Linked DNA regions of Caenorhabditis elegans. The protein of the gene in region 1 interacts with the protein of each later gene in a pairwise test. Each region holds a gene or a part of one and is shown on either strand. Other genes may lie near its edges.

Region 1 (8,668 bases):
AAGATGACGGATTTGAGCAAGTTGTATAAAAAGGTTGGAAATTTTTGGAAAAATACCAAAAAATCTTGAGACCTCTGACCAGGGGTGCGCGGCAATTGCCGACCAGTTATTCTAGAAAATGAGACGGTTGGACATGTTCCCCCGATATTTTTTATTAAAGTGTGATGTTACCATGTAGAAGAATATGTATTTACTTTATTTGACTTGGAACAACCGATAAAGTGTTCAAAAAATTGTCCGAATTTTAAAAATTTCTGGCGGAAATTGCCGTAAAGTTTTCGGCAATTTTCAACATTCAGATTATTTTTCAAGATTTTTCCAATTTTTTCTACTAAAGCAACAGTTATTTTCGAATAAAGCGAATATTTTTCTATATTTTATCATTAAAGTTTAATGAAACATATCGGGGGAACATGCCCAACCGTTTCATTTTGTAGCATTTCCGGCCGGCAATTTCCGCGCACCCCTGCTTCTGATACAAGATTGGCTCCAAGAAATGTCAAATCAATCAATAAAGAAAAAAGTAAAATAATGGACATTCGAACGTATCATTATCAAAAACGGGTCGACTCGCACCCTCTCGGGAGGGCAAGCCCTCCATTATCACTCATTCTCGATACATTTAATCATTGTTCTTCCCAACACACACACTTTTCACCTTTTTTCTTGGAAGTATTGATTCATTTTTGATTTTTCCACTAAATTTCTCGGAATAACTTTCGAATTAGTTCGAAAATTGTTAATTCCAGGTCGAACGGATAAGTAAACGAATTTTCCACAGTGAGAAGCCTCAATCGACCTTTGTTCCTTCTGCTCAACAGACCAATTCTGCTCAAAGTACTAGTTCAAGTAGTACTACCGATCCACAAATGCCTCATCAACCAGTGCTTCTGAATCCTCCGTATCCTCCGGTTCATCCTGGATTTGGAACCGGGTTTCCACAGTTCTCATATCCACAACATCAGCAGCAAATACCAAGTGAGAATTGATTTTTTTTCATAAAAAACCGAATCCCTTCGGAAAGCTTACAAAAATCAAATTCAAGCATTTTCGAAGATCCAGCAACCTTTTTATAAATACAAATTCACTTTCTAACAGCTATTTTGTAAATTATTTAGAGTCTATCAGAAAAAATGCAGATGACTGAATATACTGTCAACTGCTCTTTTGAATTTCCCGTTTCTCTAAATAATATAAAAAACAACAAAGGATAATCTAGATAAACTTGTCTTCTTCTTCTTTTCAACCATAAACAAACGATTATCCTCTTTTATTGTATATAAATAATATAATTTTTGCAGATCCACCATATGGTTGGGCTCTAAATGCAGCAGCTCTACCTCCGTATCCATCATCTACTGCCTCATCATCTTCAGCTTCACAAACTCCATCATTTGCTCCTCTAAGCCTTGATACTGGATCTGGAAATGAGACGGCTGGTAGTGGATTCGATCATTTAGCCGTTCATCACGATGATAATCACGATGAAAGAGACTATTTGATACCAGATCAACATGAAATTATTGAGCTCCGGAAAGGTAGAAATATAAAAATGATTCTCAGGACCTGGTCTCGACACGAATATAGTTTTTTTTCGTAGATTCTTCCATCAAGTTTTATGAGAAAAAATCGAAAAAAAAATAGTGTATAAAATGTTTCGTAATTCATTTCGTCCGTGTGTTTGGGTATTTTTTGGGAGCAAAGCCGAAAACTAAAAAAACGACAAATCTGTTCTCAATTTATTTTTTTCAGCTCAATCGGCTAAACTGGAGCAAGGAAAACAACGGGTAATCAACGAGGTGACATCACTAAATCTAATCACAAATGACGTCACTGAGCTCAAAAAATGGTTTGATGCAAAATATCCACATACACTGGTTAACGATGCCGCGACGAATGAAGAAGAATTGGAGAGAACTGTTCGAAAATTGGAAGAAAAATTAAAAAGGTTGAGAGCAAAAAGTGCAAAAGGAGTTCCACCTCCAAGTGAGTGCTAATCATGGATGAAAGCTCATTATTTTTTGGGAATTCTACGAAATGACCTATGTTCTTTTGCACCATGTTCTTTCAACATTTTTCATTGAAAAATAGTCTCAAAATATAAAAAATCACTTGATTTACCAGAAAATAAAAATCTTTTCAACTGAAATATTGGAGAAAGTGCTCAAAAACTACCTGAAAGTTGCCAATCCCGAGCACTTTCTCCAATATTTCAGTTGAAAAGATTATTATTTTCTGATAAATTAAGTGATTTTCTATATTTTCACACCAATTTTCAATGAAAAACGTGATAGGCCATTTTTAGAATTTCCAAAAAAAATTGTCGCCTGCTGCCAATCTTTTTGTAAAATCTCCGAAATACCATTGTCTAGCAATCGACCTAAATTTCCAATTCCTGTTTCAGGACCGCCACCACCTCGTTCAATCAGTCAGGAGAACAGTACGGGTCCATGGATTTGTGATCGTTGTTCCAGAGAGAATAACTCCAATTCGTATCGCTGTCATCATTGTCAGCTCCCCAGTCGTCGATTTGATCCATCGGAAATTGATTTTTGTGGTTGTGAGTATTGTTCCACAGCTAATTCCACTGCCTAAACAGCTTCGATATTGATCGAACAGTCATTTTGCTTCGGAAATTCGGATTTTTTCGCTCTAAAATGACAGGAAAAGTCTAACAATTACAATTATAACTGTTTTAAAAAAATCCAAAAATTTTTTGGAAAAATTGAAAAAAAATCATAATAAATTTAGGAAAATTCTATAAATTTTTTACCGTTATATTCTGTGTCTTCAGACTATATTCTGTCAAATTTTACAAAAAAACCCATTATTCCGCCTGTAACCTTAAAAAAATGCAAAGGTCAATATCGAATCATGTTCTAATGTAATAATAGTTTTTAACCGAAGGTTGTGTTTTTATTGTATATATATTTTTTCTTGATTTTTCTTGATTTTGTGTTCAAACTTTTCTTATTTTTCAATGAAATCCTCGATTTTTGAATTTTATTTATTTTTTCTGATTTTTTTCACGACTTCCTTGTAAGCTCCGTGGCAGCTTCATATTCTAATATCTATCATTTTGTTTCCATTTTCTATTGATTTTAAATTAAAATTGTCAGCACACAGAAAATGCTGGCATTCTTCAGAAGGTTCATGTCAACGACTACTGTAACTGCTCAACCAGTGCTCCCGTGGTTCAGAAATGTGCCGCTAGCGCCTGCTGATCCAATTCTAGGAGTTACTGAAGCATTCAAGAAGGATACGAATCCGAATAAGATTAATTTAGGAGTTGGAGCATATCGTGATGATCAGGTAAGGGGGAAATGCTCAGAATTTTTTATTCTAGAATTAAAAAAAAAAAAGTTTTGAAACGAGTGGCCGGAATTTCAGGGCTGCAATTAAATAATTAAATAAATTGTAATTTCGGACCAAAAATTAATTGAAACCGGTGATAAAACCAAAAAAGCATTAAAAAGAAAAATATTTATTAAATATGAATAGTATTCGAAAAAATTATTAAAGACCTAAAAAAACCCACATTTTTCTATTTTTCACAAAAAAAAAGTGGTTAAAGTGAAAAAAGTTAGTTTTTTGAATTTTTTGGTGTTAAAATACGATTTTCGTTAATATTCTAACAAAAAACCCAAAAAAATGGCCGCGGCAATAATGGCTAATTGTCGAAAATTTTAAAACTCGGCAATTGTCGAAAGTGTCGGTTGCGGAATTTTGGAAAATTCTGCCAAAAATCCAATTTTCATCATGAGAATTAGGGTCTGGGACCAAGAAAAAAAAATTAAAATTTGCGAAAACCCAAAAAAAAATGATGCTTGAATTAATTTTTTTTAAACCGTTAAAAAGTGAACAATTTTTGGTTTTTTAGTTCTAAAACACCAAAAAATCAATTTTTCGTCGATTAACCAAATAAACCAAATAAAATACCAAAAGTGTCACAGCCCTGATGAAAATAAGTTGGAAAAATTATATTTCTTCACCAAAAACACTTACTACAGTGAAAATTAGTTTTTTGCAAAATTTTTTGAGTTTTTTTTTTCAAAATTTTTGAACTCGATTCATGTCGATGTCCAAAAATTTTTGATTGCCGTCTCACCCTCGATTTAATATTCAAATTATTGTAATTTTCTATTTTCAGGGAAAACCATTCGTGCTCCGAGCGGTCCGCGAAGCTGAGCAGCAAATTATAGATGCTAAAATGGACAAAGAGTACTCAACAATCACTGGAGTTCCAGAATTTGCGCCATTGGCTGCGAAACTCGCTTTCGGCGACAATTCCGAAGTGATTCGCGATGGAAGAGTCTTCACAACTCAATCGATATCCGGAACTGGTGCTTTGAGAATTGGAGGACAATTTGTGGAAAAGTTTATTCCATCCAAGACTTTGTTTTATCCAACACCAACTTGGGCTAATCATTTGCCAGTTTTTAGGTAAATTTTTTAAAATTTTATTTTTATTTTTCGGAAATCATATTTTTTAAAAATTTAAATCTATTTTTTTTAATCGAAAAGTCGAAAAACGAAAATTTTTCGATTTTCGGGAAAACAAAAAATCGAAAAAAAATTGAAAATTAACAAGAATTTGCAGCTTTTAATTTTAAAAACTTGTAGCTAAATAGTTTTCGAAAAAAATGTTTTTTTTTGTTTTTAGATTTTCCAAAGAAGCTACACTCTTATCGAGGAAAAAAATCGGGTTTTTTTGAAGAGAAAATCGAAGAACCATACTTTTCGATTTTTTGATTTTCCGTAAAGCAAAAAATCAAAATTTCCATGCACTTGTTGTATTTTTTCCCCTGTTAATTTCTGTTTCTGTTGCTTGTTGTCCACTTCTCACCCTCACCTCCTCTATTCAGAAATTCTGGTCTTTCGATTCAACCATACCGTTACTACAATCAAGAAACTCTTGGATTTGATGTTGAAGGAGCTCTCGAAGATATTTCAAAGATGCCAGAAGGATCTGTTATACTTTTGCATGCTTGTGCACATAACCCAACTGGTGTTGATCCTACTGTATGTTGCTTTGTTGTGATGTTTTGTTTTGTTATTATTTCGGGCCAAAAATACGGTACCCGGTCTCGCCACGAGATTCGTTTTGTTACATGCGAAAAGATGTGCGCTTTTAAAGAGTACTGTAATCTCAAACTTTAGTCGCTTTGGAATTTTCAAATATTTTTCTTTTTTGCCATTAAAAAAAATGTATTTATTGAAAAAAGCGAACAAAAAATAGAAGCACTAAATGCTTAACAAATCTTCAGAAAAAGTATTAAAAATTCATTAAAATGCGAACGAAAGTTTAAAATTACAGTACTATCCAAAGACGCATACCTTTTCGCATTTAACAAAAAAAAATTTCGTGTCAAGACCAAGTACCGTATTTTTAGCGCGAAATTTCGAGTGCTAAAAAACTTATTTTGTGACGAGATACCGTAATCTCACCTAATATTTTATTTTGCACTGTAGATATTGTGAAGATAACTAACTTAAAACAAAAATAATAGTTTTTAAATTGAAGACTCAATAAAACTTTTCAAAACTCATTGAATTTTCAGAAGGAGCAATGGAAAAAGCTGAGCCAAGTGCTGAAAGAACGAAAAATTCTTCCATTCTTCGATATGGCTTATCAAGGATTTGCATCAGGAGACGTTGACGATGACGCATTTGCTCTTCGTCATTTCATAGAACAAGGACACAATGTTCTCGTTGCTCAATCATTTGCAAAAAATATGGGATTGTACGGAGAACGTGTTGGTGCATTTTCGATTGTTTGTGATTCTGCTGAAGAAGCGATTCGTGTTGGATCTCAAATGAGAATTATCATTCGTCCAATGATCTCAATGCCACCACTTCATGGAGCAAGAATTGCTTCACGGATTTTGAGTAATCCAGAGTTGAAGAAATCTTGGTAGGAGTTTCTGAGTTTGTGAAGTCAGAAATTTAAAGATCAGAAACTGAAAAAAATAATTTTGGACCAAAAAAAATGAGATTTGCGAAAAACCGGTTTCTAAGCGACTGATTTTCTAAAATTCCAAAGAGTGTGTGCCTTTAAAGAGTACTGTAGTTGCCGAAAATTTGCTTTTAAAAATATTTAAATAATGGGCAAATTAGCTATTTTTCAAAAAAATGGATCTTTTTTATTTTTGAAATATTGGAAAAACGAAATCTATAAAAATGATTATTTCAGGCTGGAAGATGTGAAACTAATGGCTGACCGTATCAAATCAATGCGTACGGCTCTAAAAGACGGCCTGAAAGCTGAAGGATCTACTCTCAACTGGGATCATATTACCAATCAAATTGGAATGTTTTGTTTCACTGGAATCAATGAGAAACAAGTTCAAAAGCTCATCAAAGAGCACTCAGTGTACTTGACAAATGATGGACGTATTTCTATTTCTGGTATTAATACTGGAAATGTTGCATATTTGGCTAAAGCTCTCCATGACGTCACCAAGTAATGATTTCTCTAAGTTCTCTACGTGTCTAAGTTTCTTTCCGGTTTTATTGAAATTCAGGTTTTGCTTTTTTAAAAAGTCTATAAAATGGTTTTTGGATTTTCTTTTTTCGTCAACATTTTTTCTTTCTTCTTTTGGGTTCACATTCCCATTATCTTATCTTTGATGTTTTTCTTCCTTTGTTTGTTTGTCTTTTTTTTTTTAATTTCAATCTGTTTTTTTATTTTTAGGCTTTAAATCAATTTTATTATTGGTGGGTGAAACTTGGAGTTTTTATAGTTTTGTAGTCAAATTTCTATTTCCAACAAAATTGAGAAAGTCTAAAAATTGTGGCCTTTATCCGTTTTTAATAAGATACGGAGCTCATTCAATGAGAAAATTTCAACTTCCTCCATTTTTCCATTATTTATATCAAAAATTGTTGTTTTTAGGGCTCCCGATCAAGAGTTTCACCAAAAAACTATTAAAACTAAAAAATATTTTTAAAAATCTAATTTTTCTTCCTTCCGACCAAAAATTGAAATTTTTTAAAGAGTTTTTAAGATCGAAAAACCAAAAAAAAATCCTTCTTTGCCCAAAAAAAAAAACGAACTTTTTCCTATTACTCAATTGCAGAATTTTGCGAGTTTCGACGCAACAACACGACACCTGGTCTTGGCACGATCGAAACCTTGCAGCTACAGTACCCACCAGCTTCACTTAATTGCAAAAACTATGCAGTTGTTGAACATGCGAGTACTGTAGCTGTGAAGTTTCAGTCGCTTCGAGACCCGGCACCGTATTTTTAAATTAACAATTGCTGGCGATTAGGTAATAACGCTTTTGCTAAAACCATCGGTGTCTTATCAAAAGTTAATAATTTTTTTCAAGAAAAGAACTGAAAATTGCCAAAATTTCTTTCTTTTTTCTAAACATTTTCATATTTTGTCCTTCTTCTGTGATGGTGTGATCACATAGTTTGATATTGACCACGAAACGTTGTTGTATTCTCAAAAAATTGATACGATTTTTTAGTGATAACAAATGATAAGAGTGTCCGTTTTTCTGACTGTATACTTCTAGTGCGTGGTTGTGTACGTCAAGATAAATACAATATACAAAGTGCCCTTTCATCATTATTTTTCATGTTTCATTATTTTAAAATCTCTTAATTTTCAGGTTCAAACTTTCAACAAGCTCTTCTCATCGTCTTCAAAATGACCCTCTCGGTAAGCTTCAAATTCCGATGTAGAAAATCCAAAATAATCTCAAATTCAGAATAATGACAACAACAGAAAGCAATAATTGTAAAACCGTGATTTTTCAATGTTGGCAAATTCCCTTCAAAATAGCGGAGGGAACTTAGTCAAAATTGAAAAAGAGACATTTTTATAATTTGGCGATTTTTTTCTGAATTTGAGACTACTTTAGATTTTTTGAAGCAAAATGTTGATATTTTCCCAATAAAATCTCACTAAGTCTTTTCAATTTTCAGTTCGACGACGCTGCTGCCACCGTTAAGACCCTCAAGACTTCCCCATCGAATGATGAGCTTCTCAAGCTCTATGCTCTGTTCAAACAAGGAACCGTCGGCGACAACACCACCGATAAGCCAGGAATGTTCGATTTGAAGGGAAAAGCCAAGTGGTCTGCCTGGGATGAGAAGAAGGGACTCGCAAAGGATGATGCTCAGAAGGCCTATGTTGCTCTTGTTGAGGAGCTCATCGCCAAGTACGGAGCCTAAATAAATTCTGTTTGATAATACGTTTTTTTAACATTTATATTTTTGTAATGAAGATTCTGTGATTCCGAAGAATTTAGACATAAAGTTGCCTATTTGATCAGCAAACTTGAACTTTCAGAAGAATGCATTTTCCATGTTCCCTGTTCCGAGTGATCTGCAATTTCTTTTTTTCCGGTCTGCTACTCTAAAACTTTGGTTTATCCGAATAATTTATAAATCAAAACCGCAACTCTTTTAAATTGGTAATAATACAGTAAAAGAGATGTTAAAAAGAGTGAGAAGTCAACAAAATGAGGGTATTCAAGATTAATGAATGGGGGGACAACACAACAATAATGATAACAACAAAAAATGGAGGAAAAAGTAAAAAAAAAAGAATGAGATTTTTGGGTTTGTTCAACAAAAGATGAAATTACTCGGCGGCAGCAGCAGCTGGAGCACCATCCTCAGCGAACACAGTACGCTTAGCCTTTGGCTCATC
Region 2 (6,600 bases), on another chromosome or scaffold:
TGTCAATCAAAGTATAATAGCTTGTACGGAAGTATTTTTTTAAAAATTGATAAAAATATATAAAAGCTGATTTTTTCAAAAATTCAAAAGTCCTGTAAAATCATATGGAGTCATTCTTTTTTATTTCATAAAACTCTTAAGCATAGTCAAAATAGCAGCAGATGCCGAACAGAGTATAATAGCTTGTACGGGTGTTTTTTTTTAATTGATAAAAATATATAAAAGCTGATTTTCAAAAAATTTTTCGGGAATTTGAAATGATTGAATAACACATCTAGCTTGAATAATGTTTAACTAAGTATTTTCCACAGCCATTACCAGCCAGCAACCATCTCCGCGGAAATCGATTTCCGGGAAGAAAAATGAATTAATGGCTTGAAAATAGTATTTGTATATTAAAAATATATAAAAGCTCATTTTTTCAAAAATTCAAAAGTATGGGAAAATCATATGGAGTCATTCTTTTTTATTTCATAAAACTATTCAGCATAGTCAAAAATACCAGAATCTGTCAATCAAAGTATAATAGCTTGTACGGAAGTATTTTTTTAAAAATTGATAAAAATATATAAAAGCTGATTTTTTCAAAAATTCAAAAGTCCTGAAAAATCATATGGAGTCATTCTTTTTTATTTCATAAAACTATTCAGCATAGTCAAAAATACCAGAATCTGTCAATCAAAGTATAATAGCTTGTACGGAAGTATTTTTTTAAAAATTGATAAAAATATATAAAAGCTCATTTTTTCAAAAATTCAAAAGTATGGGAAAATCATATGGAGTCATTCTTTTTTATTACATAAAACTGCTCAGCATAGTCAAAAACACCAGAATCTGTCAATCAAAGTATAATAGCTTGTACGGAAGTATTTTTTTAAAAATTGATAAAAATATATAAAAGCTGATTTTTTCAAAAATTCAAAAGTCCTGTAAAATCATATGGAGTCATTCTTTTTTATTTCATAAAACTATTCAGCATAGTCAAAAATACCAGAATCTGTCAATCAAAGTATAATAGCTTGTACGGAAGTATTTTTTTAAAAATTGATAAAAATATATAAAAGCTGATTTTTTCAAAAATTCAAAAGTCCTGTAAAATCATATGGAGTCATTCTTTTTTATTTCATAAAACTATTCAGCATAGTCAAAAACACCAGAATCTGTCAATCAAAGTATAATAGCTTGTACGGAAGTATTTTTTTAAAAATTGATAAAAATATATAAAAGCTGATTTTTTCAAAAATTCAAAAGTCCTGTAAAATCATATGGAGTCATTCTTTTTTATTTCATAAAACTCTTAAGCATAGTCAAAAATAGCAGCAAATGCCGAACAGAGTATAATAGCTTGTACGGGTGTTTTTTTTTAATTGATAAAAATATATAAAAGCTGATTTTCAAAAAAATTTTTCGGAAATTTGAAATGATTGAATAAAACAATCTAGCTGAAATTAATGTTTAACTAAAGTATTTTCCAAAAAATGTTAAATTGTTCCATCACCGATGTTAGATTTTCCAATAATTAAAAAAAAAATTTTTAGGTGCGACCCATCATTGGCTTTTTAGCGGGCCTTCACGTACATTTGGTTAATGTCTCGCTTTTAGCGCTTTACCTGTGCTGTCTAACACACAGAAGGTCGGTGGTTCGAGCCCGCCCGAGATCAGTCAAATGTTTTATTAAAGAAGAATGAAGTTCATTTTTTAACCGGCATGTTCGAAGATGCCGATTCGGTCACCTTGGTCTTCAGCGGCGGGAGCCAAACGAAAAGCTTCGAGTTCCATTCCGCCGGAATAAAAAATTCTTCAGTTGTGTTGTTGAATCCAACAGCCGGGTCCCTGAATTAGTTGAAGATTTTATCTTAATTTATTTAAAAACATACTTTTTGGTAACTTTCGCATCACTCTTCTTCTTCCCAACTTCTCCCGGCCCTTCTTCCTCTTTTAAAATGGGAGCCAACGCTTTTCCATTTTTCAGAGCTTCAATTCCTTCTACAAAGTATTTACGGACATCTCCACAAAGCAAGTATTGCGGTCGTTCGGCAGTTCTCATAACATTCTGCAATTAAAATAGAAGAAAAAAAATGTGAGGCAAATAACCAACTGCAAGCTGTCCCCGAACCATATTTTTGATTGGATCCGTATTCGGATACTCAACCAACAATCGAATCCATCCATTCGCCTCAAATCCTTCGCGAAATCGTTGACGATTATCTGCCAGAGTGTTGATTGGTTTATCATCAACAGCAATAATAGCTTCACCAATATTCAAACTACAATGTGAAACTGAATCCGGAATAGTGTAGTTGACCACCACTTTTCTGTCGACCTGCTGCACGTTCAGACCAAGCTGCAGGTATTTGAATTGGTAGAGAATGGCCAAATCGATGGTGTGATCCTGTGTGGCTAAGATACCTGAAATTATATGAAAATTACTGTTTCACAATAAGAAACAAATATTCAAACTTACCATTTGGAATCTTAGACGTAGACATTCTGTTCTTCAATCTAGCGACCAGAACCGTAATCTTTGTCTCAGATTTTGAGTTCAAAATCTTTCCGACAACAACCTTGAAGTCTGGATAAAGTGAATGTGGTGCTCTCACAGGTTCAGTTTTCCTTAATAAGGTAAATATTTTTCAAGTTTTCATAACATTTGTCCTTACGGTGTAGTCGTTGGCTTCCTCTTAACAGTCTTCACATTTGACTGGAGACTTGCTCCACCGGTGGTCTCGTCGACATGCTCTGTCAATTGTTTCTCATCGAATGAGACAGTCGTACCGTTCACTTGCAAGATGATGTCACCCGGTAGAATTGCTCCTTTGAATGGGCTCGCGTAATGAACACGAGTGACCAACCCATGTCGATTGACGAGTCCGAGTTGCTGGAAATCAAAAACGTTTTACATAAAGTCATTGATGATGTCGCTTACCGTTATTTTATCCTTCTTTGGGAGCTCAAATGTGGCCTCTACAAGCATTTTGTAGCTGTTTGGAACTGGTTCTCCACGCAGAATGACCACATCTTTGACTCGAGCTTCTATCTGAAATACGTGTTTCTAGAATAGAAATAACTTTTAAAATAAAATTATGTTTCACTACTAGTGTACCATTAAAAAAACCATTAAACCATTAAAAAAAAGAAAGTTTGATTCTATAATAAAATATTCTTTCGAACACCCCCGACTGCCTCAATTACTTAGTTCAAGAAATATTGTTCACAATGAAGAAAAATAAATTAATTATTAAAAAAATCTTGAATAAAGTTCAAAAATTATTATTCAAATTTCTCACTGTTTCGATTCCAAATCCAACTTCCAAATTCCAAAAAACCCCTCTCACCTCTCCCTTCTTGAATCCGGGCCGCTCCCAAACCGTGTCTATTCCCTCTGCACCTTCCGGATAGATTTTATATTTGACTGCAGGTGGAATTTCTTGTGGCATCTTTTCAAGCTATCAAATGCTTTGAATTGAATTTGTTTGATACTTGAATTATCGATTGTTGTGAAATAAATTAGAATCGAGAAGAACAATGATAAGAGGGGGTGGGGGGGAGGGAATAAAAAATTAGAGCAATTGATCGAACGTGAAGATAAAATATCAAAGGTCAGAATTATTAAATCTTTTTCAACGTGATTTTCTAACTTTTTTTTAGAACTGAACTTATTGAGAATGTTTTCGGCATAAAACTGCAAAATCGCGTGATTCAAAATCAATCATTTATGTTTTATGTTTTTTCTTGGGACACGATTCGTATGGAATCGTATTAAAATAAATAAATAAATAAATCGTTGAAACGTGTGAGTTTGAAAATTACTTACCAACGAAGCAAATTAAATTGTGAAATCCAAACTTTTTCACCAATTTCGAGAAACTATAGAATTTTTTAAAAACTGTTACTTTGTGTTACCTTTGTTAAAAAAAAGTAATAATAATGTCTTGAAACTGCATTTTTTTTTGAAATTTTTTTCTGCCACTGCTTGTTTAATTAAATTTTTATAGACACTGATATATTAATCAACAACAAGAATATGAACAATTATTTATTGAATATTTCAAAAATTACACGATTGGAATACATCATAAATTACCCATTTTGATATCAATCACATTATCAGCGATCACCAATTATATAATTACAGCAAATTGAAGAAAAAGAGCAAACAAAACCCAATTGAGAGCCTAAAACCGGTGCCTACAAGACGGGGAAGAATGTTTGAAAGAAAATCGGAAAATAAATGCAAAAAATGAATTTTAAAGGCGAGTGATTACGTCTGGTTGTTCTTCGACCTGTTGGAAAAATAAAATATTATATTTAGAAAAAATGTATCAAAAGTAAATTTATTGCAAAAAAAATGAATTAAAGTTGAAAACTAACAGAAAAAGGGTCAAAGCACAAAGGGTTCAAATGAAAGCACACACTGCACTGCACGAGATCAAAAAGTAGGTCAAAAGTGAATAAATTACAGTATTCCATAGGAGTACTGTATGTTGAATAGTTGTAATCTCAAAATGCATAAAAATTAATATTTAAAAAGAAAAAAATTAAGTTCTAACTATAATAAATAAGTAACACACAAACACAAGTACACACAAAATTAGATAATTTGAGCAAATTGAAACAAATAAGAATTCATTATGAAAATTATTTACAAACGCCAGATTTGGATAAAAAGCGGCAGAACCGGATGGAGCACAATTATACCTGAGTTTCCCGCGAATACACGTGGTTTCTATGGCTCCGTCCATCGCCACGGATTACTGTACCCTGCAGTGGTGATGGTTCCTTTGCATAGGCTGGACGGAAATCCGATGATTGAGACCTGTGAATAAATGGCACACAATAGAGTTACAATAGAAGTACGGTAAGTATATCAGAAGTGAAGCAACGTGCTTTAGAAGTGTGTAAAATTTTATGTGAAAACTTACCAGTCATCAGTATTTACATTCAATGTATGGGGTACATTCTGTGGACGTGTACCCATTGGAAGGTGCATTGCATTAATACTTGAAGCTCCTTGGCTGTCCTGAAATATATTATATTAGAAGGGCAAATGGATAATTTTTTGTAAAAACAAAACTGAAAAGTTAGCCCATAAGTATGTTACCCTTGAGATTTTAAAAATTACTGCTTCAAAGTTTTACTGCCTTCAAACAAAGTGAAAAAAAGTTTTGTTCGAAAAATTTAATGGAATGTTTCAACAACATTATAAATTAATAAATATGATTACTGTACAATTAGTAGTGGGACGTGAACTTATTTTGAGTTTGGTTATTCATGGCTAAAAGCATGAAAAATGTCTCGGATAATGCTAACATTTGAAAACAATTAAATTCTAAATGGAAATTTGTCTGTAACTGCACAAAGTTGCAAAAAGTTGAAAAAAAGTTATTTGAAATTTTCCGAAATTATTGTTTCAAAGATTTTTTAAAAATTGCTGATTATCTTTTATTCACTGGGAGTAGTAATTTCATTTTCTGTCTAGGTTTAAATTATCTAGGTTTCCGATTCTCATGCCAAAAAATTTTAAATTCACATTGAACTTACATCAGGCACACTAGAAATAAGCATCGGCTGCAAGTCATCAGAAGTCGGGTGAATTTTCGCATTCGAATTATTCTTTCCCCGTAGATTTTCCACATTTTTGAACAATTTTCCTTTGAGAATGAGTTCTCCGAATCCTTGTGAATGAGAGAATGCGTAACCACTTCTAAGTGATCCACGGACACTTCGTCGAGTTGCTGCCGTGCGTTTGAATGCGGTTCTGAAAGTATTTATTTAAAAAAATAAATTTAATGAAAATTTCAAAACGTTTAAACGATTTCTTGAATGATAGAAACTAAGTTTGAAATTGAATTATGTATGTGAGTACAATTTTTAATCACTATTTCATGCTATCTTCAAATATGGAGCTTCATCGAATAGTATAGTGCTATTGCGAATTGACCTGATCGCACATTAAAATTTTGAAAAGCGAACATACTTTTTATCATCTTTCGCCGATGGTTTCTTGCCCATTTTCTTTCGAATTCTCAGCCTATCAGCAAATGATGGATGTGTATCAAGCCAGAAGAATCGATTAAGCATAACTGGTAGTAACAGTACAACTGAAACCATTAGAATTGAAAACCAGAAGTGAGGAGTAACCATTGTTCGAAAAGCGACACCATATGAGATTGAAGATGATGTTTTGACAATCCATGAAACTGGAAGCCATTCGTAAAGAAGGAAGCAAACAAGGAAATACAGAACAAGTGATCCCCAGATTACAAAATGCGAAATTGCCGTCCAATAACTCGTGTCGAAGGCTATCTGAAAAATTTGAACTTTTGAAAAAAAAAATTATGTTTCAGAAATGTATCAAATTTTTTGACAAAATTAAAAAGCTTATTATTTCTTCTCAAGTTTCAAATAAACAGTTTCAATAAAAAGATACCCATTGTGGTATATGTTAAATTGTGTATAATTATCTTGTGAAAATGTTGAATTTTTTTTTTCATGATCAGTTAAAAAAATCTGCTTCATAAAATGCATTAATTGGTTGTGGTAGTGTAGCTCAAAAATGAGCGGCAAACGATTGTTTCCGGCAAATCGGCAAATTACCGA

Evidence for each region.
Region 2: the proteins of got-2.1 (region 1) and mpz-4 interact in a two-hybrid assay, tested with the Caenorhabditis elegans proteins (one large-scale study listed by BioGRID).

Annotation. Positions count from the first base shown.
Region 1 is NC_003279.8:4,635,334-4,644,001, reverse strand, and holds got-2.1 (Aspartate aminotransferase), read left to right. Parts: upstream 1-3,119; 5' UTR 3,120-3,129; coding exon 3,130-3,312; intron 3,313-4,150; coding exon 4,151-4,443; intron 4,444-4,865; coding exon 4,866-5,022; intron 5,023-5,561; coding exon 5,562-5,914; intron 5,915-6,031; exon of another isoform or gene 6,032-6,169; intron 6,170-6,193; coding exon 6,194-6,467; 3' UTR 6,468-6,570; downstream 6,571-8,668. Other genes in the region: Y119C1A.1 (RanBP2-type domain-containing protein), read left to right, coding at 1-33, 750-978, 1,302-1,538, 1,753-1,986, 2,405-2,595; acbp-1 (Acyl-CoA-binding protein homolog 1), read left to right, coding at 7,661-7,672, 7,939-8,187; ssb-1 (Lupus La protein), read right to left, coding at 8,600-8,668.
Region 2 is NC_003282.8:4,823,829-4,830,428, forward strand, and holds mpz-4 (PDZ domain-containing protein), read right to left. Parts: upstream 3,493-6,600; 5' UTR 3,438-3,492; coding exon 3,336-3,437; intron 3,038-3,335; coding exon 2,927-3,037; intron 2,879-2,926; coding exon 2,661-2,878; intron 2,614-2,660; coding exon 2,465-2,613; intron 2,410-2,464; coding exon 2,099-2,409; intron 2,054-2,098; coding exon 1,878-2,053; intron 1,834-1,877; coding exon 1,692-1,833; 3' UTR 1,660-1,691; downstream 1-1,659. Other genes in the region: tat-2 (Phospholipid-transporting ATPase), read right to left, coding at 4,248-4,283, 4,699-4,816, 4,923-5,020, 5,542-5,758, 5,978-6,306.